2 linked regions of the Xenopus tropicalis genome follow. The protein of the gene in region 1 interacts with the protein of each later gene in a biochemical or structural test. Links are inferred from orthologs where the notes say so. Each region holds a gene or a part of one and is shown in the gene's direction. Other genes may lie near its edges.

Region 1 (7,439 bases):
GATACATTGGATCCAGCTGTGTTACATTCAAGTAATGTCCCAGTTATTATACTGCTCACAGCTGGACGTTACACTGGATGTGCAGCAAACAAGCTGCTTTGTCTCTCTGTCTCATTTATTTTTTTACAGTTACAGCTACATAAATCAGCAGGTCATAGACACAGATAACATAGTAACTGCCAATGTAATAAAAAGTACACAATGGTAGGATCCATTGGCATACTGTGGTTTATCTGGCCCCCACAGAGCCGCCAATAAGCCACCCCGCAGTTGTGGGGTCTGCTGTAGTGTCGTTACACCACAGTGTGCAGGGCTGCCATCGGGGGGGAGAGGGGGTACGGTTGTGCAGGGCTGGCGACATCTTCATGCTTATGGGGGTCTGGCCATGTTGCGCAAGTTATGTAATTTGTGTATGTTACTTATAACGCAATTTATGTAACCTCTTCAAAAACTGTCTAGAAACTTACATAATTTGTGTATCAAGCAAAAGCCAATGCAGAGACGTGCAGCAGGGGCAAACTCCACTGACCCCCAATAAATTAAAACACTTAAGGTAAATTCTACTGACCCCCAATAAACTGACTGCCTTATTAATTATGTGTTAAATATACTGTCTTTTGCTAAATACATAAATGCTCTCTCTGTTCTAGGGATGTAGCGACACCAAAAGCTCAGAAAGGTAAGAACGGGCAAGAGGGATGGCATCAGCCAGGGTCTACTCCAGGGCTACCCCCAACCCACCCCTTTCACAGCCCTTAACAGATGTCTGGTCTGACCTACTGACAGCAGCTCTATCTGTATGTTATGTTAAACTTCAGATTGTAGCTCGAGGCATTTGTCTGTCTGGTGCAAATGCTGATATTTGCATTGTGAAAATATGACGGCACAAATATCTCTTAAAGGCAAGGTTTAGCTTGAATTGTCCCAGCAGTACTGTGGTAAAGGCATTAACCAAAATCACTATCATTGCCACTAGATGTGCAGAAGAAATAAGTAGTTATCTGACTGCCAGAAGTCGTCCGTCACAAAATCAGACAGGTTATATTGGCTCACCATAAATGTGACTGTAGTGAGAGAGAGAGAGTGAGTGTGAGTGTGTGTGTGTGTGCGTGGTAGGGCATTGTACACTTCAATGGGGCAGGGGCAAGTACAGTATATGAGGAACAATATCTGTAAAGAACTGCCAAATATGTGAGTTCGGAAGGTTTAACATACTGTGTTATTTTTAATTACATTACAGTCTTAAGATTTTATGTATTTTAGAATAACAGATAATTAATAATGTTGCAATGTAATGAATAAAGCATACAGGCAAATGTGTGCACATAAAGAGCACCCTAGTGGCCAGTTAAGGAAATGCAATTCTGATTATATAAATATGGACATTGTCTCTGAACAGGCAAGCATTATGGCAGCTTAAACACACATACATAGAAACCAGAGATTAAAGTAGAAAACAAAGGTCTCTTATTAAAGAAGTAGGTTTGGTAAAACCTCCACTTCCCCCCCAGTAATTTTAGTGGATTATCTGCTACCCTCTGACTGGCGCTCACTCTTCCTTTACTGTAAATACTTACCCTAGCCCAAGTGAATGCCATCTTTTTCCATTCTTCCCATGTTGGGCAATCGTAGTACAGAATTGTCCCAAGATTTCAGTAGTATATATATTCCCCCGCCCCTGTAGAGTTTGCGCAGGGGCACCTGAGACTAAAATAAATGGTGGCGCAGTGCCAAGCAAGCAGTTTAGGTAAGGACACCAGCTCAGGGGAGCAGGCAAGTGACTAAGGCTCTAAGGACAATGCCACATGTGGCATACTCTTGCATACTGTAAAATCCTCCTACCTGGGTCTTGCGTTTTTTGGTGGATATTGATTACATGTGCCTGCACCTGAACTTATTTAAAGGGGTCAGTGTGAAAGTGCTGACGCTTTCTGGTGGAGATTGATTCTAGGATGGCGGGGCCCACTGGGTTTTTCCTGGTGTCCCGCAGGCTCAGTCCAAATCTGCCACATGCTGCATTTTTGCCCAGACAATAAAATAGAGGGTTGTGTTTGAAACTGACAAAAATGCACTTAGGCGCATAAAAAAGAAACATATACATGCAATACATGCATTTTTGTTGTGCTCTATGTACTTTTCTATGTGCATAGAAACCGCCTGTGTATACACAAGTTCTATCCTTACAGCACTGCTGCTACACAGAAAATAAAGTGAATCACTTGGGGTTCCAAGATGTTGGGTATAGGATACAGAACAATGAGGAAACTAATGAAACACTTTAATACAGCTATGTACCCCCTGTATGCCTAGTCATTCCTTTGTTGCACACAGCCTGGCTGCTCCAGCCCCTGTGGTGTTGTTCAGTACAGCTAATGTTTAATAATATCCCATTGCAATTGGTCCATGTTAGGGTAGGCTGAGCACCCCAGACTGCAAGCTCCCACTGTAGAGGCGCTGTATGAAGGTGCCGCCGCTGCCCGGGAGCAGGGAGAGCCATAGCGCTAGGGCCACACTGCCAGAGCCATAGCGCTAGGGCCACACTGCCAGAGCCACAGCCCTAGGGCCACAGTGCCCAGGACACATCGCTAGGGCCACAGCGTCAGGACCATAGCGCTAGGGCCACAGTGCCAGAGCCATAGCGTCAGGACCGTAGCGCTAGGGTCACAGTGCCAGGACCGTAGCGTTAGGGTCACAGTGCCAGGACCGCAGCGCTAGGGTCACAGTGCCAGGACCGTAGCGCTAGGGTCACAGTGCCAGGACCGTAGTGCTAGGGTCACAGTGCCAGGACCGTAGCGCTAGGGTCACAGTGCCAGGACCGTAGCGCTAGGGCCACAGTGCCAGAGCCATTGCGCCAGGACCATAGCGCTAGGGTCACAGTGCCAGGACTGTAGCGCTAGGGCCACAGTGCCAGAGCCATAGCGCTAAGGTCACAGTGTGAGGACCGTAGCGCTAGGGCCACAGTGCCAGAGCCATAGCGCTAGGGTCACAGTGCCAGGACCGTAGCGCTAAGGCCACAGTGCCAGAGCCATAGTGCCAGGACTGTAGCGCTAGGGCCACAGTGCCAGAGCCATAGCGCTAGGGCCACAGTGCCAGAGCCATAGCGCTAAGGTCACAGTGTGAGGACCGTAGCGCTAGGGCCACAGTGCCAGAGCCATAGCGCTAGGGTCACAGTGCCAGGACCATAGCGCTAGGGCCACAGTGCCAGGACTGTAGCGCTAGGGCCACAGTGCCAGAGCCATAGCGCCAGGACCATAGCGCTAGGGCCACAGTGCCAGAGCCATAGTGCCAGAGCCGTAGCGCTAGGGCCACAGTGCCAGAGTCATAGTGCCAGAGCCATAGCGCTAGGGCCACAGTGCCAGAGTCATAGTGCCAGAGCCATAGCGCTAGGGCCACAGTGCCAGAGCCATAGTGCTGACGTTGGAAGCCCAGCCCTGCCGTGAGGTTGCAGGAGACAAGTTGTGCGGCAGCAGCGGCAGGCAGGGAGGGAAGGAGGGGTGTCGGCCAGGAAGGAGGAAGGGGAGGTGGCATTGAGGGGCATGTGGGAGGCGACAAGAGGCACTTGGAGAGGCCTGATTGCTGGATAGAGACAGTCAATCGTTTCTAGAAAGTCCCTAAGCCAACCGGCTTGCCCTAGTGCGGGAGGCAGCGCATCTGCACACTCACATCCACCGAGGGGCTCTGTGCTCTGCATCCAGCGCAGGGGGAGCCCACTCACTTTCAATGGAGGAGCAGCCTGGCCAACAGCAGCAGCACCACTACCACCATCACCATCCTCACCACCTCCACTCTCCGTCTTCTCACAGCCATTACTACTATTACACAAACAGCCAGCAGCATGGAGCCGAAGGCAGCAGCGCCAAATGCCAGCCCAAGCCGCTGAAACATGAGCAGAAACACGCCCTACAGCACCAGGAAACGCACCAGAAGAAAACAGGTCGGCATCTGACCCGGGGGTGGGGGCAGCCATGGGGCAAAGGGTAGTGTTGGTAAGGGGCAGTAAAGGGCACATTTGCCGGATGTATGGGGGGTGCCCAGTATACCGGGGGGCAGCAGAGCTGAATGGTTAGGTGGGGCTTGCACCCTAGCCGGCTGATGGCACAATCACAGCGTCGCCCGGGGGGCCGCCGGGAATACAGTGATTTAGCTGGGGGTTGGTATGGAGCCATCGTGTCTGGTTGTGTAAGGGGGACCCGGGAGGGGACACAGGGGAGCGGGCAGGGACTGGGCTCCCGGTATCTCAGGGCCCCTGGGGGAGAAGGTGCTTGTGTAACAGTTGGCTGTTGTTACTCTGTATATTAGGAATGTATCCCCTGCAGTCCCTTGGGAGTTGTAGTTCAGCAGCAGCTGGAGGGTGGCGGGCTGCATGGCAGCAGTGCCCAGGGCCCACGGATTCCTAACTCCGGCTGTTCCCATTGATCAGCTGACTGGGCAGCACAATGTGCTAAGGGCCCTGGGGCCGCTACCCAGCAGCTAGAGGGCGCCCTGCATGGGGCAACAGTAGCAGCGATTCCTACGCTTATTCCTATTATAAATGCTTCTGTGCCCTGGGGTTGTGGGTACCCGGCATTCGCTGCCAGTGGGAAGCCCGAGTGCTACGGGTAATGCTTCCCGGCATGGCTGCTTCCAGTTCCCCCTTATTGGCAAAACTCGGGGCCGGCCGAGCCCGGGGAATCCAGGCTGGAGGCCCACTGCCTTGACCTTGCTAGTAAGCCTGCCGGCTCCATGTTGTGCCCCCAGCCGCTGCGGACATGTGACTTCCCGGCAGGGTTGGCCCGTTACACCACCGCTTCCCTCCCCCGCCTTTCATTTATGTTTCCCGTTGTCTCTACTCCGCCACGTTCATTCCCCTCCCATTCCAGCCAGTCAGCTGCTCGGTGCGGCCTGGTACAGCCCTAGAGCCGGGAGCTCGCCTGAGGCAGCGGCACAGGAGGCTTCTAGAAGGCGCTGGAAGGGCTCGGCTGACGTGTGTGTGTCTGATATAGAGACTTACAATAAAGGATACAGGCTCCCGGCTGTGGCATTGGCTCTAATACACCGGGCGTTATAGCGCTGTTGGCTGGTGTTCCTAGGGGGCTACTAGCCACCGCCTCTAATAAGGGGTGATTGGCGAATTTATAGAATATAATGTACAGAGAGAGACAATTTACACTGGGGCCCATCAAGGGGAAGTATATAACACTTTGTACATATTTTACTATACATATCAGGGATGCCCAGTGGGGGTAATACAACTGAAAACCATAGCATTTTTCCTAAAATGGTGGCTAACCAACCTTCTGCCCTCTCTAACTCTAGTTCAGCAATATATTCAGAGTCACATTTCTTAAGCTTTCTTACTGTTTCCCTCAGACTGGGGCCTGAGCCCTGAGCCCTGGCCAACCCATGGCCACTAGATGTTATTGTTGGACTTTACATGCCAGATTCCCCCTGGAAGGTAAAGGCTGCAGGGGTCATTTTGGGAGTTGTAGTTCATTTACATCTGAAGGCCAATAGGGTTTCTAACTCAAGCTCTAAGCACTTGTTTTTGGAGGTTCTAGGAGTTGTTCCATATCAACTGTGGTACAAGCTACATTTTTTACCTGTAGGCAAGTTGGGTAGAGGTTTCTATATCTGTAATCTTGTTATTGGCATAGGGCCCCTGACCAAATTTTGGTCCACATATTTAAATTTAACCTGTTTGATTTCCTACCAGGGATTTACAGTAGGAGAGTTCTCTCAACTGTGACCCACCATCAGGGCCTTTCCTGGCTCCTGTTGTTTCTTCTGTGATAGGGTGTCCATACACATGCCATTTGGCCCCTAGGCAGATACTGTATGAGTGGCCATAAACACAACAACCACCACCGATTAGAAAGAGGTGCTGTTTTGGCTAACATTGTACGTTAGGAGATACGTTTCATACAATTCTGATTGACAGGCTGAATTGTATCCATTATAAAAAGATCTTAGTTGCCATTGTCTGGCCAACATTCATGCACCAATATTGTTTTGAAACAATTTATCAGTACCTGCAAGGACAGCCTTAGAGGGTATCAGTTGTAATATCCTAGCAGTGCAGCAGCCGTATAGTGATTGGTTGATTTCAGAGCAAGTGGTGACCCATGTGTGCTATGTAGGTGCAAGCCGAGCAGGTAATCTAATAAAAGGCACAAAGTCAGTGGTCTATTAATCCATAACAACCACCCAACAGGTAACATTTATTGGTCAGCTATTTGAAAGATTCATATGGTTGCTATGGGTTACTAGACCTGGGCAAATGTTGCACCATTAATCACATTAACTCTAAGTTGTTTAAATACCAAACACTGATTGCGGCATGAATAATTTAAAGGGGATTTACTGCTAAAAATAAATCTTAAGTTTGTTGTGGAGCAGGAAAAAGCACTCTACCTTTTGCAGAATTCACATCTCTCTGCACCACAGGTATGGGTTGCACTGGAAGCTGTCGTTTTGCGACCAGTAACCCTAGCAACCAGGTACAGAGAGAGGAAGGATAGAGCAGGACTATCCTAATTGCAAGGTTACTTACATTCTCACTTTGTAGAACCACACTGTGTTGCTGGCAGCAAGTTGGCCAGATGTGACCCTGAGGGTCCCTTGTTCAGCCTCCAAACTACCCTTGGTCACCATAGCCTTCTTTTTTAAGTCGTTACCAATTTGATGCCAATATTTTGTTTATTATCAGCCACTCCTTTTAAGGACAGTTTAGGCAGAAGTGGCCTACAACACATTAACATTTGTATTAACATTATTATCTTTTAAATTTCTCCTTTAAGTGCTTGTGGTTCCCAACAGCTGTAGGACTGCTGACATTTGGCAAGGCTCACTTTCATGTAGCCTACATGTTGGATTAATTTAAATTAAACATTTATATAAAATATTTACCTTTCAAGTTTTTTTAATGGGAGCCCTAGAACCATCAGTTAATAGAAATGAGTTCAGGCCTGTTCTGTTCATTATGTGGCCAGTTGGCTAAATGGATGGATTCTGTATGAGGCTTAATACCAAGTATGTCCACCTCTCTATTGTTCTGTTCATTTGGGAAGACAGCATACAGTGGATGTAAAAAGTCTACACACCCCTGGTAAAATGTCAGGTTCCTGTGCTGTACAAAAATTAGACAAAGATAAATCATTTCAGAACTTTTTCCATCTTTAATGTGACCTATAAACTGTACCACTCAATTGAAAAACAAACTGAAATCTTTTAGGTGGAGGAAAGAAAACCAAAAAAACTAAAATAATGTGGTTGCATAATTGTGCACACCCTTAAACTAATACTTTGTTGAAGCACCATTTTGTTATAGCACTCAGTCTTTTTGGGTATGAGTCTATCATGTATGGAAAATTTATAATACAAATTATGTTATGTGTATGGGTAGCTTTAGGCCTGGTGATCTGGGGGCATGCCTTATGTAGGATAAAAGTGCTGCTTATTAC
Region 2 (7,737 bases), on another chromosome or scaffold:
TATTTACGCATTGTGTGGTTTCCTTCAAGTCTTTTCAAGTTATTTCTATGGATGATGATATCATGCGTTTTTCAGCTGCCGAGAGAATTAGAAAATACGCAGCGTAAAAACGCCACGTGTGGCATCAGCCTAACAGGTCAGCTGCTGGTTAGCTTCTGCCCATCTGCTCTGCCTTTACCATCATTTGAACCTGGAATTTATTGATTACAGCTGTTTTGTGAGTATTGATAACCTTGCCTTGTATCATTGTATTGGACAAATCAAACTGTTCTTCAGTTTCATTGCAAATAGCTTCTGGAGTCCTTATTATTACTTTTACCTTTATTATAGCTGGCAGTGGGAGGTGTAGTCGACAACACCACCCATATACTGTATATACTCGAGTATAAGCCTAGTTTTTCAGCACCCAAAATGTGCTGAAAAAGTCACCATCGGCTTGAGTCGGGTGCCATGGGTCCCTCCAGACTAGCACCCTCTGTCCTTTGTGTGCAAATTAGGCCACCTGCAACCAGACCCTCCAGTGCCCTGGCCCACTCCCAGTCACAATACTTATTGCCCCTTACGTGTCCTCCGGGACTGGGTCTGTTGCCAGTTTGCCAATGCGCTATGAGCATGGGGTAGTACTCATATTGTTTTTGTTGACCCTCTTCTCTACTTACAAAGCTAGTTTACGGTTTTTCTTTTAAATAAATATTTAAAACATATACCCCACTGATGCCTCAATTTATGTAATTTACTGGTTTTTATCTTGATTATTGAAACTTAGCAGTAGCTGCTGCATTTCCCACCCTAGGCTTATACTCGAGTTAATAAGTTTTTCCAGTTTTCTTAGGTAAAATTAGGTACTTCGGCTTATATTCGGATCGGCTTATACTCGAGTATATATGGTATAGTCTTCCACATAGCAAAGGCCCTTCCAAAGAAAAAGAATCCAATGTACCCCATGCTTTAATCCCTCCCAGCTGGACTTGTCTGCAGGGGTTACACAAAGGAAATAGATCAGAGACTCATTAGAGAAAAGTATTTTTATTTCCTGGTTCTCCTGAGAAATTGTGGGAGAAGCAGAAGGCAGTTATTCAACTAACCATTCCTATTTAAACTGTCTATGTAATGAACTCCTACTTCTCTGTAAGCTTGAGACATAAAGGGGCGTATTTATTAACACCGGAGACAAACATGACCAGTGATGTTGCCCATAGCTACTAATCAGATCTTTGCTTGTTTTCATATTTGTAGGTGACCATTTAAATCTAATTGCTGATTAGCTGCTATGGGCAGCATCACCAGTGATATTTTCCTCCAGTGTTAATAAATACATTCCAAACTGCAGTTTGGGAAAAGGAGCAGAGAGTTTATACAGAACCTACTATCTCTATTTTACTGAATTGTAGGGGAGGGATGGGGAGGTAAAAAGTGAAAAAATAAAGCAACAATAATTTCAAAAATTATCATTTTAAAAGGTGTAAATTAACCCTCTAAGTGCCACTAACTCTAAAGATGTCCCTGTAAAGCCCAATTAATATATATATATATATATGTTTAACATATAGATTTACATTTTCATTCTTTCAGCAACCACATATTTGTATATTCCCACAATAGCCACTGTTCTATATTAAAGCCCTTGTGCTTGTCTTCTCCACATTCCCTCAGATGTTGTAAAGCCCAATTAGTATATATCTTTTCTTCTCTTTATGTTCTGGTCCCTTCCATGAGGCCTATAATATCCCTGCTATACTAAACTTTATTCAAAAGTTTGACAATGTCATGTTTTAATGCTGTTAGATAATCCATTCTGCATGTGTATTTTATTCTCTCCAACAATGCACCACGCCAAAGTTAACAATGACATTAGAAATATAGAGAGAGATAGGAAGTCCAACCTTAGCCTGGCATTTTAACTACTGAGTTGTTGCCAGGCACTTGCATGGGCAAAAAGGCCGCTGCTAAGGGCACAACTGGAACAGGCCCACCATCAGGCATTTATTTTGTTTAACCTTGACTGAAGCATGCACCAGCAATGGCAAATCCCTCATCAACTTGTTTTTCTACTTATTTAAATACTTTATTTTCTATTTCATCACATTACTCAGGGATCTTTCTAACGAAAAAGCGGATATATTTAATAAAGGCAGTTTTTTTCTTGTGGTGTCCACTATTTTGTAATTATTATTTTCTGCAGCCCCTTGTTGTTTTGCATCATTCTGTCTTTTGAATAGAGTAAACGTGCTCTAACGAGTGTTTCGCCAGGTTTCCCGATCACATTACTAACAGGGGCAGAAACAGCGGGGAGACCCCCATGGTCCCCCTCCCTCGCGTTTCATTCCCGCCGCCAGACGCGCTCTTCAGCCACACCTCTGTCTGCTCTCTGAGCACCATGACAACCGTACCAGATCCCGCCCTACGTGTGCCGCCGTCACAATCTGGCACAGCCATAAATAAATATATAACACTGCCTTCAGTTTGATTGGTTCGTCTAAATGTCCGTCGGCGGGTTAGTGAGTGAGGAGGGAAGGAAGCCGGCGGGTTAGGTTGCACCGACAGGTTAGGTTGCAGCAGCAGTGCCTGTGCGAATGGGCGGGCTCTAAGCCGCGGCCTGCTGTCACGTGACACGGTTTTAATGTTTACATTCGAGGCGGTGTTGGGGATTCCTTGCCGGACGGGGTCCCGTTTCGCTTTCATTTCCCGAGAGCAGGAGCAGCGGTGGCGGGCGGCGGGCCTAATGCTGGCTTTGGCACACTGACAGAAACGAGGCCTGGGCGGGGGGTGGGAGACCCGCCTTATCTGCCGCCCGTAACCAAGGCATCGCGCGGACCCAACATGGAGGAGCTGGCCGTGGAGGTGCGGGGCTCCAATGGAGCCTTCTACAAGGTGAGGCCGGCTGCTTTCCGGAAACTCCGCCTTTTTTGACCTGTAATAATCCTCCTGGAATCCTAAGGTCTCTCATAGCCAAGCCAAGGCCGGAGCGGGATGTGTGTAGGCCTGTGCATCACGATAATGACTTGCAAACTCCCCCCTCCATCCATCCATTCATAGGTCTGTCCCCTCAGTCTAACAGCATCAGCACCAGCTTCCGCCCCAGCCTACCCTTCCTTACAAGTCTGCCTGCTCGGGTTTGCATCCTCCTTGGGAGACACTCGCTGCAAACTTGGCCGCACTCTTTCCAGCTCTGATAGTGGGGAGGGAGATCCCCGCCTATAACAGGACAGGGAGATCCCCGGGGCGAACTCCGCTAAGCACTGCCTGTTGGACAGATCTGTTCTGTGGTGGGGAAGGAGATCTCTGGTGCAAGCCTGTCACACTATGGCTTCCTCTGTGAAACATGCGGAGGTTCATCTAGGTGCAGAATGATGAAGATTTAGGGAGTCTTAGCCTCCACGGTGTCAAAGTTTATATATACATATATCATCCTTATTTCTCAATGGAACCCTTCTAGTGGTAGAACCCCCAATGAAAAATGTCATCCTCCTCTCCTGTAGGTTAAACATCAAGTACCAGGCTGTATGGACAAGCCTCCTATGTGACAAGGTTATCCTGTTTAACTACTGCAGGAGAAAAGCTTAGTCTTTTTAATACATATCCTTTATTAAAGGCCTTTTTACCAACTGTAGAACATTACAAGATTGAAAGGGTGATGCATTGGTGTATAACATTGCACCTTTTTTCAGCAAAAGCCCTTGTGCAATGTGCAAGGAACTTGTCCAGCTACGTATGTGGTAACCCTGTTCTGTAAAACTGCCATTTCTGGCAGGTATAAAGTACAACAAGATGAAATAGATTAAGTGTGCCACACAGCAGGTTTACATACACGGCAACATGCTACCTAAAGCAACTTAATGCCATCAATAGCCGAAATTCAGGAGCACTCCAAAATCAGATGCATAATATCGCAAACTGTGTTCATTGCCACAGATAATGTGTCCTACTGTTCTAAGCCCCTTCCCAAGTTCGGCTGGGTTTAGTCCAAAATGTTACCTGTGGCACTGAATACAGTTTTCCCTATGATGGCATCTGAACTTGAAATGCTGCTGAAGCTGGGTTATTCCTACATTTGCCAAAGATGGTTCTAGCTGTGTGCATTGCAAATTTCAGGGGAAGGCCCTAGCTGTGTAGCACTGCATGGCACTAATGGCACTAATATATTCTGGCCCTGTAGCAGTATAGACTTGTCAAGTGCAGAACTGTATTATGCTTGATGCGGATCTCCTTTGCTATATGTCATGACAAGCTTGGCCACAAAATAATCTGTTTAGTGCAAAAATAAAAAAAATCATACATATTTTAGAATTAAAGCAATAGACAAATTACAGCCCCTATTCATTGAACCCCTTCAAATGAATACCCACTAGTATGTAGTTATAGAAGCACCTGAGGAGTAGAAGCCCTGGCAAGTTGATAACCCCCCAGTGGAGGTGTAGGCTAATAGGGCCCTGCACTCTGGTCGGTACTCATTTATGTGAATGAAAGTGACATCACACACGCATATTGAGTGAGCCGGGAGACTCGCTTTTGAGAATGCATGTCCCCAAACATGACTGTCCATAATGGGAGCTCCCTGCCAGTGCAGGTGGCATATCACTCGCTATAAGTCTCAAATAACACTTCAAATGGGGGAAATAATTTTCCTATGATAGGCCCTTTATGCTCTATGCAGGCTTTTGTGGTTTCTGTGTAGCTGTGCATCACTCATCTAGGTTAATAGTTTACCCATGCAGCGTGTGGGTTTTATGTTTACTTTTGCAGTTCTTTCTTTTACACCTTATATAAACCCTGTACTTGACAGACAGTCAGGGCAGACATACTGCACCAGAGGAAGGACCCCAGCGGTCCGAAACATGTAGTGCTATGCATCTCTGAACTAATAAACAACACAGAACGCATTTGGCTCTCCAGTGGATTTTTTTATTTCTACATGGTACCAATTTGTAGACCTGGCGAAACCTACACCATTGTGATTGAGCCTCCTCACTGAATTTCACATTTTGTGGCACACCAACTGTATTTTCCTTTTTGTCACAGACATATTCTTCACCTTTTGCATACAAATATTACTGCCTTATATATTGGTCTGCAGATGCATTGCTCTCATCTAACAGGAACCAAACACTGTTCAATATGATCGATCATTGTAGCTGTTTGCACCCACTCACATTGCTTATATGCATGGCGAGGCAATGATTAGCTCTCCAAATTGAAATCCATTCAAAGTCAAACACATATAGACAATTATAGTGGTCTATGTTATGTTGACTGTATTAGTCTCAGTGCAGTGCCTAAGGTCCCCTGTGGTCTTGTTGTTCACCTGATAATATGCAGACATATTGATGTAATGTCAGATACCAGCATAGGATTTTATTACCTAAATCTTTATTGCTGCAGGTCAGAAACAGACAGAGTTTAAAGCCTATGAGTAGTATGAGTTGTTAACATTGCTATCAAGGCAAGGTGCACACATTTTAAAAATAAAATCAAAAAGTCAGTGTCACAAAAAGGATTTGGATCTCAGTACACATTCAGTTTAAAAGGGGAGTCCACCTCTGAATAAATTTCGGTATATTGCAGATAGAGGTAATCAAAATTGCAATTAGTAAATTGTAGTGTAAATGCCATAATGGAAAACTGCAGAACAAAATAAAATCCTAATCAACAAATTGCAAATTGTGTTAAGTTGTAAAGTCATTTTCAAATGTAACTGTGCATATAAAGTCTCTATACTTAATATGTTAATGTATGACTTTCTTTTCGTCTCTCATAGGCATTTGTGAAGGATGTACATGAGGATTCTATAACTGTCACTTTTGAAAACAAGTAAGTACCTGCAGCTAGTGTGGAAGTGAGTGGAACTGCATGATAAATCAGAGCTTGTGGTCAGCATCAGTCAACCTCTTATTATTTTAGGCTCAAATTGGGAAGTGATACACTATTAAAGAAACCTGCAGTCTCTACTGTATTTTTATTTGTGTACAATGGAAATTAATATATATTTTTTTTTTCACCTGAAAGATAAGTGTATAAAAAGCTGATTTTTAAAGGGAAAGTCAAGCCTCTTCTAAGCCCCCTCACTCTTACCTTCAGTGAAAAGTTTCCCCAACCGCAACCACTATGCATACTTTGTTTGATACATTATACATTTTATAGATCTTGACTATAAAGCTTTTTCTGGAGTCCTCTTCCTGGCTGCCATATTGATGTGAGAATTTTCTTGCCATGATGCTACTTGAGCATGTGTAAGGATATGAAAATGTTCCCTGCATGTTGTGCTGAGCTGCTAATATGCAGGGAATTGGACAGACACTGAGCAGGTAATGGGCATCAAAAAAGTCTGTTTGTACTGAGCTTTTGCCTATTTCCTACCATGGCTCCATAATTGGAGGGGAGGGACAGTTAAACTAGAAAAAAATATGCTTTTAAAGTTGTGTGACATTCCTTTTACCTGTTAGCTTTATGTCAGTGTTGTATTACTGCTGTAATCAGCTAAATACAAAATAGGTCAGTTGTTAAGTATTTGCAGGTAGCATTTGTTATGAACTGCTTTATACTGCTGTATGATAAATTAATGTTTTTACAGCTGGCAGCAAGAGAGACAAATCCCATTCCATGATGTAAGATTTCCACCTCCATCAGGGTATAATAAGGATATAAATGAAAGTGATGAGGTAGAGGTAAGTAAACCAATATTAAGGTAGAGGTAATAAACATTTAGCATCTAATTTCCGATTTCTCATTAAAAGAGCCAACACCTACATCAGTGGATGGTGAATGGTGACACTGGTTTCATGGTAGTTTGTAAAATGTTTTTTGCTTAGTAACTAGTTTCACCACAAGTGAAATATGCCCTATATAACAGCCTAGATTTTGCTTGAAAAAAGTAAATATATAAGATATAATATATATATAGTGTCTTATTCACTGCATGAAATATCTTTTCCATAACAGGCCTGGAAGTAAAGATTTATAACTAAACAGTGTAAAGTTGTATTACAAAATATCTTGCACAGTATCTTACAAAAGTACATTGCTCATTAAAAAGCAAACTTACAAAATTCTGAACTGAATCCTGGATTCTTAGCATTCCTAATAAAAATATTGATTTTCTGTAATTTCCTAGTATCATACTAGCAAAGGCCAACCTCTGCTATTATAGTTTGAATTTAGTGTATGATTGTAAGTTGTTTTAGCCATTGTATGGCATCTAAGTCACCTTTAAGCTGGCCATACACGTGGCGATGTGACGATGTTTTCGCACGAAACATCGTCAGATCCGCCACACACAGTCAGGGCTGAAACAGCAGATAAGGAGGTAGAAACAATAGGATTTCTACCTCCTTCTGCCGATTCAGCCCTGACGGCAGATTTTGGTCAGGCGCCTTCTATGGCGCCCGATCAAAATTTTCTAACCTGGCCGATCGGCAAGTCGTCCGATATCAGCAGCTTCCTGCGATATCGGTCGACTCGCCGACATGCCATACACGCACCGAATATCATACGAAACGAGGTTTCGTACGATTGTATCGGTGCGTGTATGGCCAGCTTTAGCCAGTGTTGCACAGGGAAATGAGAATCAGAACTGTAGTCTATTCTGACCAATCTGATTTAGCAGACTAGTTATATAAGGCAAGGACAGTAGCTTTGAATCCTGCTAATGTGCATGCTTATTATGGTTTTTGTCCTTGAATTCTAAATACATTAACAAATTATTGATGTATATATTTTATTCTCTATTGTTACGTTCTACAT

What was found. The genes of interacting proteins can lie anywhere in the genome.
Region 2: the proteins of nufip2 (region 1) and fmr1 form a complex in vitro, tested with the Homo sapiens proteins (2 studies listed by BioGRID and IntAct, with this or other methods). The link is inferred for Xenopus tropicalis from reciprocal best matches to the Homo sapiens genes NUFIP2 and FMR1.

Annotation. Positions count from the first base shown.
Region 1 is NC_030678.2:33,011,034-33,018,472, forward strand, and holds the start of nufip2 (nuclear fragile X mental retardation-interacting protein 2), read left to right. Parts: upstream 1-3,501; 5' UTR 3,502-3,720; coding exon 3,721-3,934; intron 3,935-7,439. UniProt on the Homo sapiens protein: Binds RNA.
Region 2 is NC_030684.2:56,988,232-56,995,968, forward strand, and holds the start of fmr1 (synaptic functional regulator FMR1), read left to right. Parts: upstream 1-2,612; 5' UTR 2,613-2,820; coding exon 2,821-2,871; intron 2,872-5,755; coding exon 5,756-5,808; intron 5,809-6,568; coding exon 6,569-6,662; intron 6,663-7,737.